3 linked regions of the Schizosaccharomyces pombe genome follow. The protein of the gene in region 1 purifies or fractionates together with the protein of each later gene. This does not show direct contact. Each region holds a gene or a part of one and is shown in the gene's direction. Other genes may lie near its edges.

Region 1 (10,550 bases):
ATGACTTATTGTCTTTTGTTAGAATGATTTTTATCATTGAGCTTTTAAGCATTTTGATTTAATTATGTTATGACCAGCATTTTTGTTTTGGAAAATGACCGGCAATGCCTATATCCTCATATCTTCGTCTTTCCTGTTTTCTTTTAAAATCCACTCTACATACCGATTAGGCATCGTCGACTAAAAAAGAAAAAAGTCATTGGTTTTATTCAAGAAAGCACATGATCCGGTTATCTTCTTAAAATTTAGCCGGCATTCAACTTATGCTAATGAAAATAAAATATGTTATTATCATTTTTTTCATTGTTTTGAACTATAAGCCTAAAACGATGAAACTTTTGTAACAGAAATAAACAAGAAGACTCCGTCTTCAATATATACAAACTTTTTTTTTCAGTTCCCCATGTATTATACTTGAAGAAGCTTCAAATGTCAGATAATTCTAATGAAGTAGCAATATTTTTTTTATCGGTAGCGTTCTTCGTTTATGTTTTAGCTGACGAATGCTTGATAGACGAGGCACTCCTAACAGCAATGAAACATATCAAACTGCTTACGAGTTTAATAATAAAAAAGTCAATCGTGCTTATCGAAATTCTTTTTCGAATAGTCTTCAGGTGGAGGAGAGGCAGCGAGAGCTGAATAAGGAGAGTCGATTTCCGCATCATAAGTACCGCGGGTGTTTTGGGGGTTTTCGGAATATACATTTTCATCCAAAAAGGATTTAAGTTGTGTAAATGATTGCTTAGCACCTTCCTGAACGTTACTAGAGAAATTATTAATGGCATTCATGTAATCCTTCCTTGTTTCGGGATCTTGAACCTAAAAACAGAGTCAGTACAACAGAAACTTTATTTTTTGGATACAATAAAATGTTTGTACCTTTGTAATCCCTGGCTGAATATAGGACTTATTTACGTCTTGAATCTGTTGGGAAACAGATCTGGAGAACATGTTCCAACCATGACTAAGTGCAGAAACAGGATTAGATGATAATTGGTCCAAAAAAGAGCCACCGTTATTTCTAGCAGAAGAATTGGGATTAACAGAGTTAGAGCTTCCAAACCCTTGATAGCGACCTCCTTGTGAAGGGGGTAAATCATCAGGGCGTTGGGAATTAATGGAACCAAGCTTTGCAAAATATTTATCATTTGCTTCTTTTGAAACTGATGGAATAGTTGGAACAGTTGAAGATGAAGTTACAGAAGCATGAGAGGAAACGCTCTTAGGACGATCAACTTTGACCCATTCGACACCATCTACTTCGGCACGAATTTTTTGTCGTAGGTCCTCAGCAATGTCGGTATTGTACTTAAAATGTGTTAGTCAATGTGAATAAAATCAAAATAAGGTAAACTGGAAAAAATATAGAAGGTTCAAAGATCATACTTTTTCACGAATACTTCCGGCAGCAGAAAACATCGGGTCTGTAGACAAGAATGTTTTAGCATTAGAATTTCCACCAACCTGTATAGAAGTTAGTCAGGAGCATGCAACAAATGTGGGCTATATATGTTGTTTCAAGTCATTGATGAAATTATAGTGAGCTTGCATTTTATAACTTCAGGTGATAATCAATTGCGCGTCATGTACTTGTTTTTAACATTAAACATTATTCTTGTCAAAAAAAGGCACTAAATGACTTGGAAAAAATTCGAAATAGCGGCAAGCAAACTCGCAGATCAATAGCGCTACCCTCTCAGCCAAATGAATTATTATATATATATGTTTTTTTTTTGGTAAAATAACCAACAAACTCCAATAGCCCGTATCAATCCTGATGCTTACCTCCATCATCTTCACTTGACGTTCACTCCAATTGTCCATGGTAATACTGCGGACAAAGCTCTTTTCGACTCCCAAACCACGATGCTGTCCACTGCAATCCAAACAAATGAAGATTCCCAAATTACAAGATGCCCATTGTGGATTTGGAGCATCACAATCAAAACATTTCTTGTTTTCAGGAAGACGAGTGAGTTGGTCTAATTTATACGACATTTTTTATTAGATTATTTAAACAACCAACTCATTAATTGTAGTTTGTTCTAAGTGACTTTGAAATTTCGTTATTTTCATGTCTCACCATGGTGTGAGATTTTATGGAAGTGCGTAAGAAAACGTTAAAGATCTGGTGAAACGTATTCCAAGTATATAAAATCAAAACATGAAGGAAATAAATATGTCGTGCAGTTGAATGCATTTATGAGTTTCAACTTTTTCTTGTTTTTGATCCATACTGTTTAAAATACCAGCATCTAGTTTCTTGGAAAGCTTACGGTATTATTTTGAGCAATTTTCATATCTGTCTAAGAGTTCATTGACCTTCAAAATAAATAGATTAAAGAGATTATTCAAGTTACAATAAGTTTGGTTTAAGAAAATGCAAATTAGTTTAAACAATCCTCTCGTTTTTGAAACAAACTGATAATTCAGTGATTTTTGACTACAAATAGAAATTCAGAAATTACTGTGTTCCTCGCTTGTTAAAGGTATGTAGCAGAAAATCTCTTATGAGTTGGCTACCTCTTAAGTTGTATCGTCTTTATGAACTTAACGACTTTTTTAAGGACTATAGAGGACTAGAAGCTTGAAACTACAAAACTAGACTAGTAAAAAGGTTATACCCTTATAAATTTGAGTGAATACATCCACTACTTCCATTGCACACATTAAACCAGTCTTAGTCTGCATAGCAAAGTAATTTGAGCTACAAATTATTTATACTATATATATGTCTTTCGACACACACGTTAAAATGTTTATTAAAAAATATAAAATAATACTATCGAGTTTTTAATTCAATGTAAACAGATACGCTAAAAGGCTGAAAGGCTACGAAGTTATTATTATTGTAATTGCATAGCTTCAAAAATTCTCTCTTTAATTTAAAATTTTAGTTGAGATCAAAGTAATGGTCATCAGTAAGAACTTGAATGTAACCCTAAAACTTGCAGCTTTTTGCAATATATCTTTCCAAGTTTTTAAGAACAAAGTCAAATCATTGCAACTCATTTTGCTAAATATTTTCAATGTTTCTCACGAAAACCGACTGGGAATTGGCTGTGCATCTAGTCAAAACACTTGCTATAATTTAGCACGACATTAAATATTCAAATCATTTGAATAATATTGAATTATTTATTAGAGAATACTGTAATATCATATACATTTCCAATCGCAAAAGTATGCATTTTTAAATGGTTTGCTTGTATATGACCTACCATCTCTATAACTTCATGGTTTCTCTACATGTCTCATATACAGAGTATTTTCGCACAAATTCGAGATCCTTTTCGAAAGTTAAGCTTCTATTCTCTTCCTCTATCTTCTGAAACTTCATCTGTTGACTCCAATGGGTTAAAGAACTCGTTGAAGGATGCGTACTTTGGGCTGGAAAAAGCATTGACCAATACAGACGCCGATTTACCACTAAATTTATGCGATTACATATTTTTTCCAATTGTACCTGTACTAAAGTCCTGGTATCGTGTCCCAAGTACAGGAGTGGAGTATGCCATTCAGTGCGTGAATTTGCTTTACAAGCATGGTTGGAGGGAAGCTCATAATGAAATGTTGACGATGCAACTATTATTGATGCTTCTTAATATAGCAGATGGATGGAAATCTCCTTCGGAAACTGTGGAACAAGATTTTCGTGTTCGAGAAATTACTTTCGAAACGCTTGAGAACGTTATTACAGATTTTAAGCCTAATTTTCACGATAAAAGACAGTATCTTCTCTTTGCGAGAGCTCTTTCTAGTGCTTTGGATATTATTCCAAATAAAAATAGCTCACGGAGATTACAGTTTGCCTCATTGTGTTGCGTCCAAAAGCTAATATGCCCAAAGCAATATCGCTTACCAACAGAATTTCTTACTACTTTTCTTCCTGGCATAGTATCGGGATTGACAAAGGGACTGGCGCCAAATGGAACCTGTCAGTATTTTAAAAACGTGTGTATCTCTTTGAATATTTTAGGTGATACAGTGGTGAAAGCTATTAGTGACGATAACACAAAAGATTTGCCAGATGAAAAAGATGCTTCTTCTAATTCTCATTTTTTTGGCCCAACGAAGCGTACAAAGTCTTGGAAACGCGCTACCTGCCAACAATTAAGCAATGCCGTCAAGGCAATTCTTCACCTTCGTTCTTCACAAAACTTACATGTACAAGATGCTTTATTTGATTTTTGCTTTATCCTATTTAGAGATTGTTTAGATTCACTAAAAGATTGTAGGATTCATTTACTAGAGAGCATGCTAAAATTGATCAATAAAAAAGAAAATCCAAAATTAAGGGACTATGGGATGAACAAACTCGTTTCTCTCATTGAATCATTCAACAATATTACTATGGAATCAGTATTAACTGAATGCCTAAATGATTGGTCTACTACATGGTCTAGTGTTTCCACTTTTGCTTCAGAAGATAATAAATTGGAGGAGTTGAACCGATTGAAAAGTCTCTTAAGTATATCCAGTCATCTTCCTAAGACTTTGCAGCTCATGGAGCCTTTACTGGATGGTATACTCAGCCAACTTGTACCAAAGTCATCGGGAATTGATTCCAATTCGCAGAAGCTTTTAACATCCAGTACTTCGAATGAGTACATCCATGGTGAATTTTTTGGTGGAAATGAGATGGAAAGAACAACACAAGAGATTGTTACAAGCTTCGCAAAGGCACCTAATGTTAAATATGTTATGCAGTCCTTACTTTCTAAGGCTACCTCAGCAACAAATGAAAACTCGGTTCGTGCATTTTGGGCATTTATGGTACTTTTGAAAAGTGACGTAGAAACGGTGGACAGTTTGGAAATGTATATTGATTCATTAGAGCAATATTCATTCGAAGTATTGCAACAATTATCGCAATTAAATGTCTTTACGAAAGCATCGTTGGAGGATAAGCAGAAAAAGGAAAAGTATAATCTTTTGTGTGTTCGTTCTTGCATTGCTATTGACAGCATTAGCTGGATTTCTTCTTTACAAGGAGTAAAGTTTCGATCAAAATTAATGGCATATTTTTATCCTCTCCTTGAACATTTGGCGTTTGCTTCTCCTTATGTATCTTCGTTTGCAGAGGCATGTATTCAAGCAATTGCGACAAATTGCAACTACTCGACGCCAGCAGAGTTACTTAGAGAAAATATTGACTATGTGGTCAACTCAGTTGCCCTCAAATTGAACACATTAGACGTATCACCTCAACTTCCAATTGTGATGGCTTATGTAATAAAGAATGACGATGGAGGATGCATTCGGTACATTGGAGATGTAGTGGATGCTATTTTTGGGATTTTGGATGCTTACCATGGTTACGCACGGCTTACAGAAGGGTTGCTTGGAATTCTTTATGCCATAATAAAGCAAGAAAGTATAAATGGCGAGGAGAAAAAGCTCATCGTCGGGGTGGAGGAGGACGCAATGAACGAGGATAAAAATAAGCCATGTAAAAAGATTCGCGAATTCGTTCAACTACTATTAGAGAACCCTAATTATCCTCTTCCAAAAGATGATCATGAACTAGAGGATATGATACACGATGAACAACAAGAAACGAAAAGTGGACATGAACAGTTTCGCGAACATGCAATGAAGGAAAAAGAAAAGAAGGGCAAAGAAAATGAAAATATGGGTGAGACCACAGTTGATCATGAAAACATAAATAGTAATGTTATGGACGAACAAGGAGAAAAGCAAAAAGATGATGTCGTCGATATGGTAAGGAAAATCACGGAAAAGGCGCAGTTATTCTTATCACATGAACAAATTACGATACGAGTGGAAATGTTAAAATTGTTGAGCTATGGAAGCAATGTTTTGGCTAAGGAGCCAAACACATTTTATCCTGCTATTAATACATTTTGGCCATTGGTCGTTATTCAGCTTGACACGGATAACGAACTGCTAGTAGAATGCGCATTAGAAACTATATATCAAGTTTGCGCCCTTGCAGATGATTTTATGACATCTAGGATTCGCCAAGATTTGCTTCCACGATTGGAGACGTTGTGCCAACGTTGGCATCTTTTCAATGTTGCTCGAACATATTCTAGTGAGCATCGTTTGCAAAGGGCAATGCTAAAAGTAACTTCAGCATGTGTGGCTAACAAATTGAGCATTGTAGTGTATTTGAAGCTTATGGGGATAACGGCACCCATCATACGAGCCATTACTCACATGTCTCAAAAGTATGCGGGGGATGAATCATTGGTGGAAGAAACTTGGAACGCATTTTCCAAGCAAAATCCCGACGCAGTGTATTATGAGAGAGAAGTTCGAGGGTCTCAAATGATTGACACTTTCTCTACTGAATTGTTAATTCCGGGAAAGCAACGTGTTCAACGTACATATCGCCGAACACATGAAGTTTTGGAACCTGTCGGAGCAAAGACGTCGGAGACTGTTTTCAATGATTTGCTTGGGCAACAAGGCAGCGGGAAAACCGAGACACAAGAGGAACCACTCCCTTCTTTGGACAATTTGTTACACTTGAATCAACCGAAAAAAGGAGCTAAAAAACCATTGATTTCCATCATTTAACGATAATAAAAGTGGTTACCAGTTTTAGAATTTTCCGTGTTTTAAAAGAAAATACAAAGAGCCTAAAAATCAGGCAAAGAATTCCATTACATCGCATAAAATTATATTGGCAAAGGCTCGACTTTTTTCATCTTGGCATTATTTGATTTGACTAAGGCTGTACTCGATTCAACTTGTTTCGATTTAGATGAGCCATTTTACCTACATTCAATGAGTCAGACTCAACGAATTTAGCTAAGTTGACGAAACGAGGCTGGCAGCTACCTAAATTATACTAAAAAACAAACTCATCTTGCTACCGAGCACAACGACGATCGCACCTTGTTTCGTAGTTTCGCTAATCTTTCGAATGAACTATTTTCTATCCAATTTTAGATTCAAAGCAAACAGCCACATGATCGGGCAAGGAATAAATGGACAAACGATAGTGGGATAGTGGGTTATCAGAAGACCAAAAAATAAAGAAATTTGAAATTTTTCTAACTTACATCTACGCTACGAATTTCATGACTCTGTTTCGTTTGTCTTTTTTCTATTGAAAGCTAGTCATGACTATGGCTGCTAAGGCGCAATACGTTTGGATGAGCGAATGTTTAGTCCATACTGTAAAACCGAGGCAAGGCCGTTTACTCGAATTTTCGGATATGTATTTGCGATTTGGTCTGCCTGGAAGAACCTACCCGTTTCAGTGTGATTCGACCTATTTCAGTATTTAGCGTTTTTTTCTTTTGGTACTATCCTTAGTTATCCTTGTTATCAGTAAGGGGGCAGCAACTGAAAGGAGTAAAGAATAGACCCTTTAAATGGATGTGAGAGATTGGAACGAGATTAGATTAACAAAGGACTTGGACTTTTCCAGATTTTTTTTCTTAAAAAAATTATAGAAACTGTTAATCAACAGAAAGCGAAAATCTTCTATATTACAACATTAACCTCTCTAAAACATTTTTTTTTCATCTAAAAACATCTTTCCCCCCCCCCCAAGCACCCCATCCCACTAAGGATCTTCTATAATTCCATGGATTTTCCCGGAGGAGCTGCGTTTTCCCCACATTTTCAGTAGGGTGGGTGATAGCCGTTGCACGGACCAATCATTAAGCAATGCTTATCTTATCTTTATTTGGTTGAGCAGGAGACGAAGGAATTCTGTGAGGGGGTTGGCTTATCAGATCGGAAATTTTCCGCTTAAGTAATCTTCTTTTCCACTATCCAATTATAGAGAAAAGAGATATATAGGAGCATTGTGATTGGAGATTTTGACATCATACTTACATCCTATTCGTCTGTTATCTCCGCCATCGCTCTTCCATCAGGTTTATTGCAAGTCGTCAGCCATTAGCAAACGTATGGTCTCCCAAAAAACAAGGTATCTGGTGTGACTGTTGATTATTGCTTGTTAAGTGTATAAATATAGCAGACATGGCCAGCACGTCCCTGAATCCTCCTGCTACACTGCACTGGTACATCTGGTAAGCGTTTTGAACCCGGATCGATATCTCTTACATACTCACGTTGTAAGAGTTTTGTTGGATTGTAGTTAAATTTTGAAAGTCTTTGCGTTGAAGGCGTCGAATACGGATTTGTATAGAACTTTGGATTGTACAGCCTGTATTTGTATTGTTAAAAGTTTTCGAGGTCGCCTTTTTTTGATATCTCGAATTCTCTAAACTTATCATTATTATATAGATATACACTCTATATCACTACCTTCGATTTTGTTTACTTTTTTGGCCCACCATGAGTACCCCATACGAACCTGAATTTCAACAAGCCTACAAGGAGATTGTGGGCTCCATCGAGAGCTCCAAGCTCTTTGAAGTTCATCCCGAGTTGAAGCGTGTGCTTCCAATCATTTCCATTCCCGAACGTGTCTTAGAATTCCGCGTCACATGGGAGGACGATAAAGGTAACTGCCGTGTTAACACCGGCTACCGTGTCCAATTCAACTCGGCTTTGGGCCCCTACAAGGGTGGATTGCGTTTCCATCCTTCCGTCAACTTGAGCATCCTCAAGTTCTTGGGCTTTGAACAAATTTTCAAGAATGCCTTGACGGGCCTTCCCATGGGTGGTGGCAAAGGTGGTTCTGACTTCGACCCCAAGGGCAAATCCGACAACGAGATTCGTCGCTTCTCGCAAGCTTTCATGCGTCAGCTTTTCCGCTATATCGGTCCTCAAACTGATGTACCGGCTGGTGATATTGGTGTCACAGGTTTTGTCGTTATGCACATGTTTGGTGAGTACAAGCGTCTTCGCAATGAGTACAGTGGTGTCGTCACCGGCAAGCACATGCTTACCGGCGGTAGCAACATTCGTCCTGAAGCCACTGGCTACGGTGTCGTTTACTATGTTAAGCACATGATTGAACACCGCACCAAGGGTGCCGAGACCTTGAAGGGCAAGCGTGTTGCCATCTCCGGTAGCGGCAACGTTGCTCAATATGCTGCCTTGAAGTGCATTCAAGAAGGCGCTATTGTTAAGAGTATCAGTGACTCTAAAGGTGTCCTAATTGCAAAGACCGCTGAAGGCCTTGTCCCTGAAGAGATCCATGAAATTATGGCTCTAAAGGAGAAGCGTGCCAGCATTGCCGACTCTGCTTCTCTTTGCAAGAAGCATCACTACATCGCCGGTGCTCGTCCCTGGACTAATGTTGGTGAAATTGACATTGCTTTGCCTTGTGCAACTCAAAACGAAGTTAGCGGTGAGGAAGCCGCCGCTCTTATCAAACAAGGATGTCGCTACGTTGCTGAGGGCTCCAACATGGGTTCTTCTGCTGAGGCCGTTGAAGTCTTTGAGAAGTCTCGTGCTTCTGGTGAGGGTTGCTGGCTTGCTCCTGGTAAGGCTGCCAATGCTGGTGGTGTCGCCGTTTCTGGCTTGGAAATGGCTCAAAATGCTCAATTCTCTACCTGGACTCATGCCGAGGTTGACGCTAAATTGGCTGGAATTATGCAAAACATCTTTGAACAATCCACCGATGTCGCCTCCAAGTATTGTGACTCTGGCTCTAACAACATTCCCAGTCTTGTCGATGGTGCCAACATTGCTGGTTTCTTGAAGGTTGCTACTGCCATGCAAGCCGTTGGTGACTGGTGGTAGACTTCATTCGTGAAATGTTTAGGCATTTTTGATTCACTGTATCTGTATATGTTTTTTCAAGTCACTCGCTTTTCTGTACCTCTTCTACTTTACCAATTTTTTTAAAAAGCTATGAATCTATTAGATGATTATGATGCATACGAAAAAAAATAAATCAGTCTTTGAATTATTCTCACAGATGCTTCGAATACGAAGTACCCGTAATTATGTAGACTTTTCATGTAATAAAAGGATCATTTGATTTTCTAGTTCCGCTCAAGGCGCCTCCTTTATTCAATTAATTTTAACTGGTATTTGATAGCTGTATGAAATTATTATTTATGAGAATCCTTTGAAGAATTTACTAAAAAGAATTTTTTAACGTTATGTAAATGATAGACTTGTATAAGAAAATAGTTGAGAAATAACAATTGCTGTTAAAAATGTGAAGAATAGACTAAATTATTAAAATACATAGGGCTCATAACGGTAAATTAAACATGGGCATTATTTGTACCCAAAAGAAGGGCTCTGCCTTCAGCTAAATAGGCAGCCGAGGTTTCATTAAACAGATCATCATCGTTTTCTGAATTCAGTGATGAATCATCAAAGTCATCGGAAGAGCTGGCACTGGATGATTTGCGCAGCGTAATGGAATAAATGAATTGTCGCAACCTATATTTTAAAGAAATCATAGAAAAAATAATCGGCAGTAGTATAAAGGTTGGATAACGTTTGCTAATAAGATTTCCAAGTGGTAAGAGGTCAATACTCTCACCATAGAATTGATGGAATTGGGTGGGATAAGGTTGTAGAGAAACAAAGTTATAACAAAGAGGAAGCGTTAAGCGACAAAGTTGAGATGCGAAGTATATCAAGGAGGCCGTATTTGTAGCTCGGAAAGGAACTAATGCATAATAGTAATGTGG
Region 2 (7,312 bases), 150 kb from region 1:
GAAGAGATACCTCTTTAGGCGATGCTTCGGTAAATGAAGCCGCTAAAGAAACTGACGTCGACTCTAGTCGTTTTATTTCAGATGAAAAAGCCGTGACTGAGGATGCGATGAAAACTGAACATGCCTCCAATGCCCCTCTCACTGATGAAAGGCATTTTCAGTTCCATTCTTCTGAAGGAGACATTGAAGGAATCGTTGGGACAATGCAGCGCCAAAGACAATCTGTCTCTTCGTATGACACTATCGTTCCTAGCCAATTCTATAAACAGAAGGTGGTGCAAAATAGCCCCCCAAGCTTGTTGAGCACTGATAACAAAATTCCAGAATCCGGCTCAGATCATCCCTCAAGTCAAGATAATTCCAGTAAAGCATCCTTGGTAGAAAACTCTCAGACACAATCATCTACTCCGAGAAAGCCGTTGCCAACTACCACTAGTCCTAAAGTAAATCCGGAACCGCATAGCGAAAGTATATCTGACACACGACCTTCTACTCCTAGAAAAGTGCCACCAAGTACAGTTCCTAAAATGAACCCGAAGCTCCAGGGTGGCAATAGCGTTACAGCCCCTTCCACCCCTAGTAAAGTGTTGCCAGCGATGAGTCCCAAGGTGGCTCCCAAATTCCAAGGTGGACGCAGCAGTACAGCGCCCTCTACTCCTAATAAGGTATTACCAGCAGCATCTGCTAAAGCTGCTCCAAAGCTTCAAGAAAAAGCTGCATCATTTGACATTCCTAATAAATCTACTATTATCTCTACTAAGTCAACGGTAGCATCGCCAATTAAAGCAAATGAGAACAGTCCTGCCTTGAAGTCTAAAGCATCTTTTGAGTTCCCTAAGGAATTAGATCCTGATGGTACTTGGAATGCACCAATTCCTTATCCTGATGCAAATTGTCCTATGGCTCCCACTTATCGGAATTTGACTTCTGAACAAGAAGAAATGTATGAAGAAGTACTTAAATATTGTTTGGAATTAAAAGAGATTCCTGTAGCGTCTAATTCTAGCAAGAAAACGGATTTGATTGAGTTGGAGCGTCTTTGGCTAACACGCGAATGCATCCTTAGATATTTGCGTGCTACTAAATGGCACGTTTCCAATGCAAAAAAGCGTATTGTTGATACTTTGGTATGGCGTCGTCACTTCGGTGTTAATAATATGGATCCTGATGAAATCCAAGAGGAGAATGCAACTGGTAAGCAAGTATTGCTAGGTTACGACAAGGACGGTCGTCCCTGTTTATACCTATATCCAGCTAGGCAAAACACTAAAACCTCACCACTGCAGATTCGGCATCTGGTTTTTTCATTGGAGTGTGCTATTGATCTTATGCCTCCAGGAGTAGAGACATTGGCTTTGTTGATTAATTTCAAGTCTTCGTCCAATCGTTCAAATCCCAGCGTTGGTCAAGGTAAAGAGGTACTGAATATTTTGCAAACTCATTATTGTGAGCGTCTTGGAAGAGCACTTGTTATTAATATTCCTTGGGCTGTATGGGGTTTTTTTAAATTGATATCTCCATTTATTGACCCTATTACACGAGAGAAGTTAAAGTTCAATGAACCGTTGGATCGTTATGTCCCTAAGGATCAATTAGATTCGAATTTTGGTGGATCTCTTCATTTTGAATATCATCATGAGAAGTACTGGCCCCAGTTGGTGGAATTGTGCAAGTCACGTCGTCTTGGCATCTTGGAAAAATGGAGGAAGATGGGATCTAAAATAGGTACAAGCGAATGGGATTTGAAGGGTGGAGAGGAATATGTTGAATTAATGCAACAGTATGTACGTCCTTCATTGACAAATCGTTCATCTTCTCCAACTGTTACTCCAACTGTAAATACTGATAGACAGCCAAAGACTTTAACCAATAGTGCTGATGAGCTCTCTCCTCAAAAAAGACGAGTTGAGAATCCTAAGCCCGTTGTCAAAGATGAGGGGCCTGTTTCTATCGTTGAAGATGAGGAATCGACGCCTGTTGTTACAAAAAAGGAGGACTCTATTCCTGTTGCTCAATCCACCAAAGCTGATGCTGGGCTCGATGCCGAGAATGATCTTCTTCCCAAATCTGGTTCCGGTGTTTCAGAAACACCAGCTTTTTCGCATGCACGAGATGTTTCTACGGCTTCATTTAGCGACGCTGTTTCGTTTATCACCGCGGATAGCATAGAATAGTTTTTCTTAAGCTCTCGAAACCTCTTCACTCTTTTCTCTTATACTTTATTCGCAATTGAGCTAGTTCTATGATTTCTTTTTTTACAGCCTTGAAAACTTTTAATAGAGGGCTTTTGAATAATTCGGTGCTGAAAAAAGAAAATCCACTATTACTGTACATATTTAGCTAACAGTAGAGTCATTGATATTTCCAAAGAAGATCATTTGTTTTAATTCCTTTTTTCTTATATAGTTGATAGTTTCGTGCTTTTTAGTTTCAATAAGAAGAATTACCACACTTCAATTTATAACTTGGCATCTGTAAAATTCGTACACGCTAAATGAACCTTCCAAATTCCAAAAGTTGGAGACGCGTAACCTTTTACTCAATTATCAGTTTACGCCAAATATGTTAATATATTAATGAAGAAAAGATAACTTTTACTCGATGTAATACTATGACTTCTCTAAATGACATCGTTAATAAGTTGTCTTCATCAAAAATCAAAACACGATCAGATGCTCTACAAAATCTTCGCAGCTACATAATTTACTCCAGAAATGGAAATTCGCTAAATCAGGAAGATGCTTTAATAATCGAAAAGGCCATAAAGCGAGCATTCGAACTTGAATGGCAAATTTCTGCTAATCATGGTAAACGTCAAATTTCCAAAGCTTCCCAAGAGCAGAAGCTTCAAGATATTAGCTATTTGTTAAGAACATGTGTTGAATCTTATATTTTATTATTTAGGGAGCCTCATATTTTAGCGCTTCTAGATATAATTCTAAGACATACTTTCACAGCTAATGGTTCTATATGTGAGGTAGTCTGTTTGAATTTTTCTAAGGCTCTTCGGCTACTATTATCCCATTCTCCTCATTTGCATCATCTTCGTTTCTCGGATTGGCAATCACTAGTTTCCTATTGTTGTCAAGCTATTGAAAAACTAAGTATAGCTGAAGAAACTTATGTTAGTGATAGTGAAGAAGAGCCAATAAGCCAAAAAAACTATCAAGAAATATCTATCTGGAAATCGCACGATGTTATAAGAGTAAAGCAAGAAGTCGTTGAGCTCATTTACGTTATGCGTTCTCTTGTTCAATGGTATGCGGCTCCAATTAATTTTGTTAGTGAGCAACTGCTGAAATTTTTTGAGTTCTTTTTTTATGCTTACACGGAAGAAACAGATGCGCATCTACCAGCTTTGCAGTGTTTGTTTCAGTTATGTGCATATGCGATCCCCAATTGTAATGATTATTCCGCAAGCGTTGTTTTATTAGTCTTTAAGATTCTTATAAACTCTGATAAATGGAAGCGTCTGGATTTAAGATTGCAGCTTATACAATGCTTAGCCATTTCTTATCCACTTTGGTCCAATTCAGAAACATGGGATCCCCATCGTTCCATTAGATCTTTTAATTTAGATCTTCTTAACTCTTCGTTTTTTTCTTTAAAAAATTTCTTAAATTTTTTTGGAAAACGCTCCTCATTATCGCTTGCGAATTTTAGATTCCATACAGTTGAGCCTAAGAACAACATTGCAAAACTTTACGATCCACGGCTACACCTTTTTTTTTCTCTTAGACATAATTCTTTCTTTGAATCTTACTTTATTTATTTTTTTCTTGCAAAACTAATTCTCCTCAAAAAAACCGTGTTGTCCTTAGCAAGCACGGAGCAAGCCAACAAAAAGCAGAAAACATGTTCTCAAATAGAGGAACTGCTTTTGCAAGCTGAGCTAGCCAATATCTCGGCTTCCTCTTTTTCATTGCAACTCATGGTAATTATCACTGCTATTTCTGACAATCTAACAAACGATGATCTATTGTCAATTCAAAAAATGAGTCTTAACTTTACTGAGAAAAAAAATGAACTTCAAAGCTGGTCTTTTTTTATATTGTTCAACATTTGTTACAACAAAGCTTACTCTTCGATGCTTACGACTTCATGTAAAAAGGAAATTTTGGCTGCTGCTTCTCGTGGTCTCCTGAATTCTGTTACGTCTCCTGTATGCTATCAAATTTTAACTTATTTTAACATGTATCGGCCTTTGTGCTTCGCGAGCATTTTTCCTTTCATAAAGCAACAGTTTATTTTATTTAATGATTACTCGCCAATGCTTTCATATGAAGCCATTGATTACTGGAAATCTCTGTACATATTACTTAATGAAAACCTATTTGTTGGTCAAAGCTCTTTTAAATCTGTGTTTCTAAAATGGTTGAAGTGGCATCTATATCATTTGTTCAGCAAAGAGGGTGAACTACCATTTTTCTCATTTACCGATTCTTCTATTATCATTTTTGATTTGTTAATGATGATCTTCTATAGACCGTTGTCATTATCTTATATCACCACAGAAATACGATCACCTTTCGAACGTAATTTGTTTCACCTCAAAGAAGCATGGTCGCCTGTTACGCTTCGTTTTCCTTATACTACTGACGAAATATGTAAACAGTCTACAGAAGGATGCTATCCTTTCAATAGTAACCATACTATTGACTGTGATAGTTTGCAAAATGTCATTAAAATGTTGGAGAGCTCGATAGACGAAATTAGCTCAGCATCTTATGACAAAGATGAGCTTGACAAGGAAACCCCAAGCTTCGAAGCAGTTATGATATTTTCTCAGATATCATTTTTATGTGGCTTTCTAAATTGTTTTATCCAGAAAAAAGGTATTCATAATGTTACTCCTAACAATCTTGTCATTTTTAAAAATTTATTCCCTGAAGTCCTTTCTTTCGTTAAGTCTAATCACAGTTATGACCCAATAATAAATTGCATCTCTACTAATTTGCAGTTTACTATTTCTGATGAGCCAAAACATCTTCGGTATGAAATTGGAAGCGACTTAATTCGTTCAACTCATTTTCGAGACAGTAATCCGCTCAAAACCTTGGTTCTTTATATAATGGATATGGCTTCTAAAAACGTATTCATAAAGCCTCAAGAATTTGATCACGATGAGTATTTCTCCCAGGAGGAAGAAGATATTTATCGGCCAGAAAATTTAATCAGGAATCATCAAATACTTGGTTTGATGGAAGGATCGCTTGAGCAAATACGGAATACTGATCTTTTTATTTTACAAAAATATATCGACTACTTTTCTAGTCATCCTCATGACAGCTTAATTAATATTCTTCATTTGTATCCCATTGAAACTTTTTGTTTTGGTATGTCTGCAATTGGTGCATATTTCCTAGATGTTGCGCGGACATCCGAACCTATTTTCTACAAATGTCTTGAAATACTGGCTCAAAAAATTTTAATGAATTATGATTATGAAAGAGACGAAGTCTATCTAATGATTTTTATTAAAATATTTCAAAAATGTGTTCATTCTAAACTTCAGTTCACGGACGCAACTTTGAAACTTATTGTGAAGATTACAAAATTCATTGAAAAGGTTTTTATTGAGACTAAATTTTCATCATTATCTGGTAGACAAACTTTTTTAAAATTTATATTTCAGTTATCCCCTACATCTCACGTTTATTCAAAATTCGATTATCAAAAATTGATTTCTTTAACTCTTAAAGACTCTGATGTTTGTGTTATTTATAACTTTGTTGACGATTTGGTGATTTTTCTTAAAAAATGTGATAAAACGTTAATTGAAGGTTTTGTTCTCCCAATTTTAAGCATTAAAATTGAGAAGTCATTGTATAAAGGCTTCTGCTATTTATATTTGACTTTAAAGGTTTTTTTGTCAATAAGTTCCAATCGATCAGCATTGTTGTATCAGCTGCTTAAGCTTGCAAACAGCTATGAAACGTCAACTATTTTTGAACCTTTGCTTCGTAAGCTTCACATTCAGAGTGCAAATATTAAGCAACTGTTTCGAATATACAGGTTAGAGATATTTTGGTCATTCGTCAGCAAAGATCTTTCTAATACAACCAATGACTTTCTAGAATTCCCCTACAAACCAATTTATTTCAGCCTTTCCGATTTTTTAAAAGAAAACAGCGACGAAATTATACTTGTTCTTATTCTGACTAAGAATATAACCTTGGCTAAACTCATTACTTCACGCATGTCTGTTGATTTTTCTGAAAAGTATACGCAATTGATCCCTGTTATAACAACTTATACTCATCTAAGTGAAGTAGAGAATAAAAAGTATTCGTTGAGATTTAATTCTATTGATGAAGCACTTGATGTGGAATTACTCAACCGCTCCAAAGCTTTTTTGTTCTGCTTAGAGATGCTTAAAGAGGTTAAAGAATTAGGCTCTACTTTTAAATCTATAAGCTCAACTTCGTTTAAGGTGTACTCACAATTAACAATTTTTGCCAATCGCGTCTCTTTTAACAATAGCACAGCGATACCATTCTTTTCTACAAAATCTGTGTTATGGTATTGCAATAGACTCTTCCAAGAATTAGAGGGCTTCTCCTCTATCCCTTCAGTCATTGATTTAGTTTTAAGGAGACTTGCAATACAACTACACTTTGCGACGGATGAAGAACTTCAAGTTACTATTTCTTTTAGATTGTGTGCTTTTCTATGTTTCTCTGATCCTTTTATCACTTCAAACTATTTGGTAATGATAGTACTTAGGATAGCTAGACAATTACTCTCAATACCTTGTACCCAATCACTAGGATTAGGAATTGCGCGCTTTCATTTGAAAAAATTCAAACCTACTGATTTTGATTATTTCTTTCAACTAGCCGAATTCTGTATGGACTTTTTGGGTTTTTGCTACAACACTATTGGTACGAAGATGGAGGCTATCCAAGATTTTTATACTTGGTTTGATGGTTACGTTACTGCTTTACTAAATTTTGAGTATGAAGGTTATGGATTTTTACGCTGTCAAATAAACTTTGTACGTTCAGTGATGACAACCAAAAATGAATGGATAGAGGTTTCAAATAAACTGTTCGAAAGAGGTCACTTTCTTAAGAGAATCGCAATGAATAATTATCTTTGTCTCTACTTTTGGCAAGTCCTCGATGCTTGTCCCAGAAATGTTTTACACTCCTTAAGCCTTGAAATTTGGAAATGTTACAAAGCATACGATATTACTGAATTTCCTGACTCTTTGAAGCTCTTTTTTTCAGACATCATGGGCTGGAATTTTTTCAAATCTCCGGAAATTGCTGATCTCAATCATTATATACCCAAAACCGATCCTCGATTA
Region 3 (6,736 bases), on another chromosome or scaffold:
TCAACCAAAGCAGTTAAACTATTACAGATAACTGATCTTAGACTAACTTGTTCGTACAAGACATTGACTAGAATACTAGCAAATTCCAGAGTGAATGATGATTGCAAGTCCAAAGGCAAGTAGCAATAACCAGGTAGGAGAGACCAGATCTGGTCAACTAGAGTTTGCAATAATTTTGAGGGAATGCTATCTAGATCATTCATTTCAATTACCTTTTGATAAAGTTGGCCACTAAGAGGGACAAAATAATTAGTGAAATGGGCTAAATTAGCAAACCGAATATTGTCACGCAAAACGGGAAGAAGCCACGCGCGCCCAACGGCATCCTTATCGTTCAATTCCAAATTCAAAGGGAGAACACGTAACATGGCTTCGGGACCAATTGCACGAACAAAGGAGCCAATGGCTTCATCAACCAGTGCCTTTCCATCAAACCCTTCCGATCCCCTAAGGTAATCAATGACCTCCAAGGCTGGAATTAAATAGGGATCTGAATGAGGACCTAATTTGTCACACAAAGAAGAGATAATCTGAAAGCATTCTGGGTAAGCAAGACGAAAACGAATATCCCTTAATGCATCACAAATAAAGGAACAGATTTCTTCGACAACGGCAAATGAATTTGGAGTAGTGTCCAAACAACCAATTACAGAACAAATTGTGGTGGCCGTTTGCAAGCGAATCTCCATCGATTCAGATTCCAACAAAGTAAAGAAAGCTTTAAATCTATGAAGGCATTCATATTTTGCAGTCTCCTTGTCTAAAATATTAAAGGCGCGAATGGCCGTATTCATGGCCTTCAACCAGCCTACCATCAGAATCGGATCGTGTTCTGATGGCTCCAATTTTTGCAAACAAATCAGAGTCATTCGTAGACTAACAGCATCTGTATAATCCACTGATTTTTTTGACAACCCATCCAAAATTTGATAAACAAGAAGAATGGAATTTGTGCTTCGTTGTCCAACAATTAATACGCAGGACCTACATAGCCTTTCGACGAGAGTCATTGGCCAATGTGTAGAAGAACAAAGCACACGAATAAGAACCAAACTATTATTAAGCTTTTGGACTTCTGCAGGAGTTTTGGGCTTTTTGGCAGTAGCGAGCGACTCCAAAAGACGAAGTGGCTCGAATGCAGTATATTTTATAGCAGGATGCTCCGTTACAGGACCTGCCGGAGGATTTTTTAATATGTTGGCCAGAATTTGCAAAGAACGTACTCTCGTCTTCTCAGTATTGGACAATGCAAAGAATAATAAAATATAGATAGAAGTTTTGCAAGAATTGCCATGAGTCCAAGAGCTATAATCCTGAAGAAGTAAAAGCTTCTCCAAAACATTAAGATAGGGGAGAAGGACGGTTTTATTGGTTTCTGCATTATTTACAACTGGAGCAAGGACAGACAAGATCTGGGGAAATTTTGCTTGCAGAACATTAGAGGGCACATACTTAATAACCAATTCCAGTAGTTGAAACGTGTGTCCCTTAAAATTTTTCTTTAAGTCCGTGAATTCCTTAACTAAAGTTAGAAGGGCCACCAAATAAGCAGTTGGTGTCGCCTCAGTTTTTTGCTCCTTCAACGTCCCCTCCACTGCACTAACGATTACATCGAATTCGTTTATGACACCTGCAGTGGAGCTGTTTCGAATCTTTCGAAGTTCAATTTGCAATGGTTCATTCACTTCAGCCATGAATTTTTAACCTGCCCAAACTTTCCCTGTAGGATGGTGTGAAAGACAACTCCACATCAGTGCGAAATTCACAGATATGTTCGCAGTGCATTGCACATCGTTATTTGTTTGGCGAAAAAAGATTGTGAAATTAGGAAATTTCCTTACCAATCTTTTGATGGATCACGATGTGTGGCAGGTTAAGTTTAAATTTATTGATAAACATTAATTCGCTGTTGCTAGACGGAATTGCGGGTATTTTCCTGGTACATGAGAAAATTGAGATGTAAACAAATGATTCCCAAGTTATTACCGTTTATATTCATTTATTTATCTGTCGCTAATAAAATTATGTTTTATTGTATCTTAAATGAGCGAGCGTTTAAGCACTACAAAACCTATCGAAGGATTACAGATTGCCCGGAGATTAAAAATAAAAAAAGCAGAAGAAAAAATCAGCGAAACAGTAGTAGCATCGGATTAAGCAATCCAAACAAGTTTTCAATATATATATATATATATTTTTTTTTTTATTCGTTTTTATGCTCACCGTATTTATTTAAATATATATCGCTATTCTAGGATGGTAGTTAATCAACATATGGGATGTATGTAAATAAGAAAATTATAATTCATTAATAAATCAAGAATAACTTTTTGAAAACATTTAGATGTATTTGCGTTTATTACTTAAGTACTCGTTATAACAGTTTTAGTTACTATTTTTTTTGCATCATATACAGTAAAATAGAATTCCTCAAAAATCGATTGTTAATTTCTGTTTAATTTTTTTTTTTAAAGAAAGAATACACCTCTTTGCTTTATTATTTCATTTCCTGTCTTTTTCATTACCTCAGCTCTACTTTCTTCTTATTTAACTTGGTACTATTTTGCTACACCCAACCCTAATGTCACATTTTGAAAGCAAGCTATCCTCAACCAACTACTTATAAAATGGTCCAAATCAGCGAGGTTAAGGGAAATGGCCGTGATAATAGGATTACTACACATTCACATATCAAAGGTTTAGGCCTAAAAGAAGATGGAACTTGTGAATCTGTTGGTGGAGGTTTCATTGGACAAGAAAAGGCTCGTGAGGTAAGCATTCCTGATAATTCTTTAATATAATGTATTCTAATATATTTTCTTAGGCTTGTGGCATCATCACTGATTTAATCAAGTCTAAAAAATTTGGTGGTAAAGGTGTATTGTTCGCTGGAGGTGCTGGTACTGGTAAAACAGCACTGGCCTTGGCGATTGCCCAAGAACTTGGTCCTAAAGTTCCTTTTTGTCCTATGGTGGGAAGTGAAGTCTACTCTAGTGAAATAAAGAAAACTGAGGCTTTAATGGAAAACTTTCGAAGGGCCATTGGTCTTCGGGTAAAGGAAACAAAAGAAGTGTATGAGGGTGAGGTTACAGAAATGGTTCCCGAAGAAGCCGAAAATCCTTTGGGCGGTTATGGAAAAACCATTTCACACGTCCTTTTGGGCCTCAAAACGCATAAGGGTACCAAACAGCTCAAATTAGATCCTAGCATTTACGAATCTTTACAAAGAGAACAAGTGTCAACCGGGGACGTTATTTACATAGAAGCCAATACAGGTGCCGTAAAGAGAGTGGGTCGTAGCGATGCGTATGCTACGGAGTTCGATTTAGAAGCGGAAGAATATGTTCCTATGCCTAAAGGTGAGGTACACAAGCGGAAAGAAATTGTTCAGGACGTGACTCTTCATGATTTGGATATTGCCAATGCCCGCCCTCAAGGAGGACAAGATATAATGTCTATGATGGGTCAGTTAATGAAGCCCAAGAAAACTGAAATCACCGATAAGCTTCGTGGTGAAATTAACAAGGTTGTCAACAAATATATCGAACAAGGAATCGCTGAACTTATTCCTGGTGTCTTGTTCATCGACGAGGTTCATATGTTAGACATTGAGTGCTTTACTTATCTCAACCAAGCCCTAGAAAGCACTATTTCTCCTATTGTTATCTTTGCCTCTAATCGAGGCATTTGTACCATTCGGGGTACTGAGGATATTCAAGCTCCCCATGGTATTCCTACGGATTTGCTTGACAGATTACTAATAGTTCGCACACTCCCCTATTCAGAGTCAGAAATTCGTTCCATTTTGCAGATACGTGCAAAAGTTGAAAACATCATCCTTACTGATGAGTGTTTGGACAAGCTGGCTCAAGAAGGTTCTCGTACTAGTCTCCGTTATGTTATACAACTGTTGACACCCGTTAGCATTATTGCCAGTTTGCATGGTAACAAAGAGATTGGTGTACAAGATATCGAAGAATGTAACGATCTTTTCTTAGATGCTCGCCGCTCCGCTCAAGTTGTTAAATCATCTTCAGGCTTCCTTCAATAAAAATATTATCCTTAATAACGATCTACCCTTACTTATTTCAACTTTTTGGTTATATGCGAAACTAGCTAGATTTACACAGGTTGTGAATATATATACCTTTTTATTTATAAACTTGTAAATTTTTTTTAAGCTTAACCAATTTCTTCTTTTTTTTATCCAGTTATATTCCTTCCATTCCGGCATTTATTTATACTGTAATCATTTATGAATACCTAAATAAAAGTCAGGATCAATGAATTTATTTAGAATTCAATACCTCCTAGGGTTTTTTTACATGCATGGAAAGACTGTATGAAGTACTTTGCAAAAGCTGCAATCATTCTGTAAATAAACTTAAAATATTATAAGAAGGTGAGTTCTTTTTTTTTTTTTTTTTTTTTTTTAAATTTGAGTTGAATGCTATTTATAAATCTTCTGTTCATTTTTGATTCCTACTTCCACGAAAGGACAAGCTGCCACTTGAGATAAGCAAGTGCTAAAGAACGAATAACAGGCAAAAAACTTCAACAGTAACTTCATAAAGCATGATAGACAAAAAGAGTAATACAACATTTGTAATACGCGGAAAAAAAATTCCCCATCTGCGATAACTGTTTCGTCGTCATTTTAGAAATTGATTATTTACATTGCAACACCATCGATTGAGCAATTTTATCAACACACACAGTACTCTTAGCGCACAGTAAGCAACCCCGTTTGTTATGATATATTAATATGCCTCGTTAGTTCGTCAATATACCACTTTACATAAGTGTGGCCAAAGTAAAGCAATAATGACGAGACCAGGAGGAAGGGCAACCCAATATAAGTTGAAGAGAAGACTTTGAATGCTTAACTATTAAGTGTACAAATGGCAGTTTTATCAAGAATTATGAAACCTTACAGGGCCTTTCAAAGGCTTCCTTTTGAGCTCAAACCTCTGGGTTAGTTACTGAGAAAACCGAATTTGTCAAATCACTAACGAATTTTAGCAATCCTCATTGGAATTGCTGGGTCCACTGCAATATTTACCATGGGATATAAGATTTATTCTGATCCTGAAGTATGTACAATTATTTCCAAACTTCTATTACTATTTAAACAACGGCCACTGACCTATATTTACAGATTCGACGCTCACCAAGTTGGGTAGCACAAACACAACAAAAAGAAGAGACAAAAGTTAAGAAACCGCAATTTCATTAAGTGCTGTTAAAATTAGTCTTTTAATGTTTAGTGCGTGGTTGTGTGTTTAATTGAGCAAATTTTCAAAGCAACTTTAGGCCTTCGTTCCAAAGTAAATGTCTCCAAAATCGCCAAGACCTGGAACAATGTATCTAAATCATATGTGTTAAAGATTATTCATGAATGAAATAGCGATCAACTTTGTATTGACCTCATGAACACTTGTAGTGTATCGTGCACATACCCATTGTTGTCGAGTCCCTCATCAATTACGGCGGTAACTATACGTATATTGGGGAAACGATCGTGAACATTTTTCAACCCTTCAGGCGAGGCAATTACATTGAGGAAAATGATTTGTTCTTGTTTGCAACCCATGTTGATAAGAATTTCCATAGCACAAATAGCAGAGCCACCAGTGGCTAGCATGGGGTCCAAAAGTAAGACATAGCGTTTAGAAATATCTTCGGGAAGCTTGATGTAGTGTAACACAGGTTTATGAGTTTCCTCATCACGCTGTATCAAAATTTTTCCAATACGAACAGAACGACAGCATTCACGCAATCCTTGTTCCATACTTTCGCCAGCTCTCATAATGCTAACGCCGCAAATACGACCATCAAACATTACACCCTCGTATTCAGCATTTTGAGCAGTCGTTACCTTAGCTGAAGACACTGGCAAGTGGTTGAGGCCCTCTTCAACAATTAAACGAATGATTCTATTGGCATAAAAAATAAATTCAGACTAAATATCATGTTAGCAGGGATAACAGATTCAACAAAGAATACACGAGAAGTTGTCGAATGTACTAACTGATAATGAATGCTTCCTATCATCCACTGATAAACATTTATCTCCCCATTAATAGAGGAAAAAGCTAAAATTTCTTGGACATATTAACACATTCATTTCAATTAGTTCTTAGACCTTGACTCAGTAATCTGTTGTAAACTGAACGCGCATACACGAGGTTTCGTTTTATCACGAATGATGGTAAACAACCCTTTTAATTGATTTGTCTGATTTAGTACGTACACATTTCCATGCTCAGGTACCAGCGACATCTTTTTGACGATGTATGCTTAAATATCTACCTATCAAGTTGTTTACCAAGTAAATGGTAAAAAGTAAAAGCACAATAACACATTTGCTTTTAAGCTATCAATAGCAAAATGAGTTTTATCAACCTTAGTATATTTCGTTAAACATAAATAAAGATTTACAACATCATTTCATAATAACATAATTATGATTAATGCGTTACTTAGCGCAGTAAAAGATTTCTACTCTAGCAGGCTTGGCAAAATTAAATAAGAATATCAATTAACTATTGAACATATTTTAGGGCAAGTTGATGTTTTTAAATGAATTACTGCTTATATTTAAGAATGAGAAAGACAGTACAAATTTTTGAAGCACACATTCATACAATTGGACTCCATGCAGCTTACAATCTTAATTGGATTTCAATGTTTTTTACTTGTAATTCTCAATTCATCCAACTGTATTCACAAGAAA

Evidence for each region.
Region 2: the proteins of tti1 (region 1) and tel1 purify together in Schizosaccharomyces pombe (affinity purification with mass spectrometry, with the first as the bait; one study listed by BioGRID). This does not show direct contact.
Region 3: the proteins of tti1 (region 1) and rvb1 purify together in Schizosaccharomyces pombe (affinity purification with mass spectrometry, with the first as the bait; one study listed by BioGRID). This does not show direct contact.

The regions. Positions count from the first base shown.
Region 1 is NC_003421.2:1,418,549-1,429,098, reverse strand, and holds tti1 (TTT co-chaperone complex, armadillo-type fold subunit Tti1), read left to right. Parts: upstream 1-3,231; 5' UTR 3,232-3,252; coding exon 3,253-6,549; 3' UTR 6,550-7,953; downstream 7,954-10,550. Other genes in the region: SPOM_SPCC622.14 (GTPase-activating protein), read right to left, coding at 577-822, 883-1,311, 1,390-1,467, 1,789-2,001; NADP-specific glutamate dehydrogenase Gdh1, read left to right, coding at 8,287-9,642; lmb1 (plasma membrane LMBR1-like multi-pass membrane protein, human LMBRD2 ortholog, implicated in signaling), read right to left, coding at 10,116-10,550. UniProt on the Schizosaccharomyces pombe protein: Component of the TORC1 and TORC2 complexes required for the regulation of the cellular respons to changes in available nutrients.
Region 2 is NC_003421.2:1,272,735-1,280,046, reverse strand, and holds the start of tel1 (ATM checkpoint kinase), read left to right. Parts: upstream 1-2,505; 5' UTR 2,506-2,611; coding exon 2,612-7,312. Other genes in the region: pdr16 (sec14 family protein), read left to right, coding at 1-2,174. UniProt on the Schizosaccharomyces pombe protein: Serine/threonine protein kinase which activates checkpoint signaling upon genotoxic stresses such as ionizing radiation (IR), ultraviolet light (UV), or DNA replication stalling, thereby acting as a DNA damage sensor.
Region 3 is NC_003424.3:4,921,637-4,928,372, forward strand, and holds rvb1 (chaperone, AAA family ATPase Rvb1), read left to right. Parts: upstream 1-2,610; 5' UTR 2,611-2,627; coding exon 2,628-2,771; exon of another isoform or gene 2,772-2,824; coding exon 2,825-4,051; 3' UTR 4,052-4,429; downstream 4,430-6,736. Other genes in the region: ribosome biogenesis protein Rrp12, read right to left, coding at 1-1,694; SPOM_SPAPB8E5.08 (uncharacterized protein), read left to right, coding at 1,944-2,255; protein Min8, read left to right, coding at 4,902-4,974, 5,023-5,093, 5,159-5,236; SPOM_SPAC1B3.01C (uracil phosphoribosyltransferase), read right to left, coding at 5,310-5,367, 5,460-5,962, 6,184-6,282. UniProt on the Schizosaccharomyces pombe protein: DNA helicase which participates in several chromatin remodeling complexes, including the SWR1 and the INO80 complexes.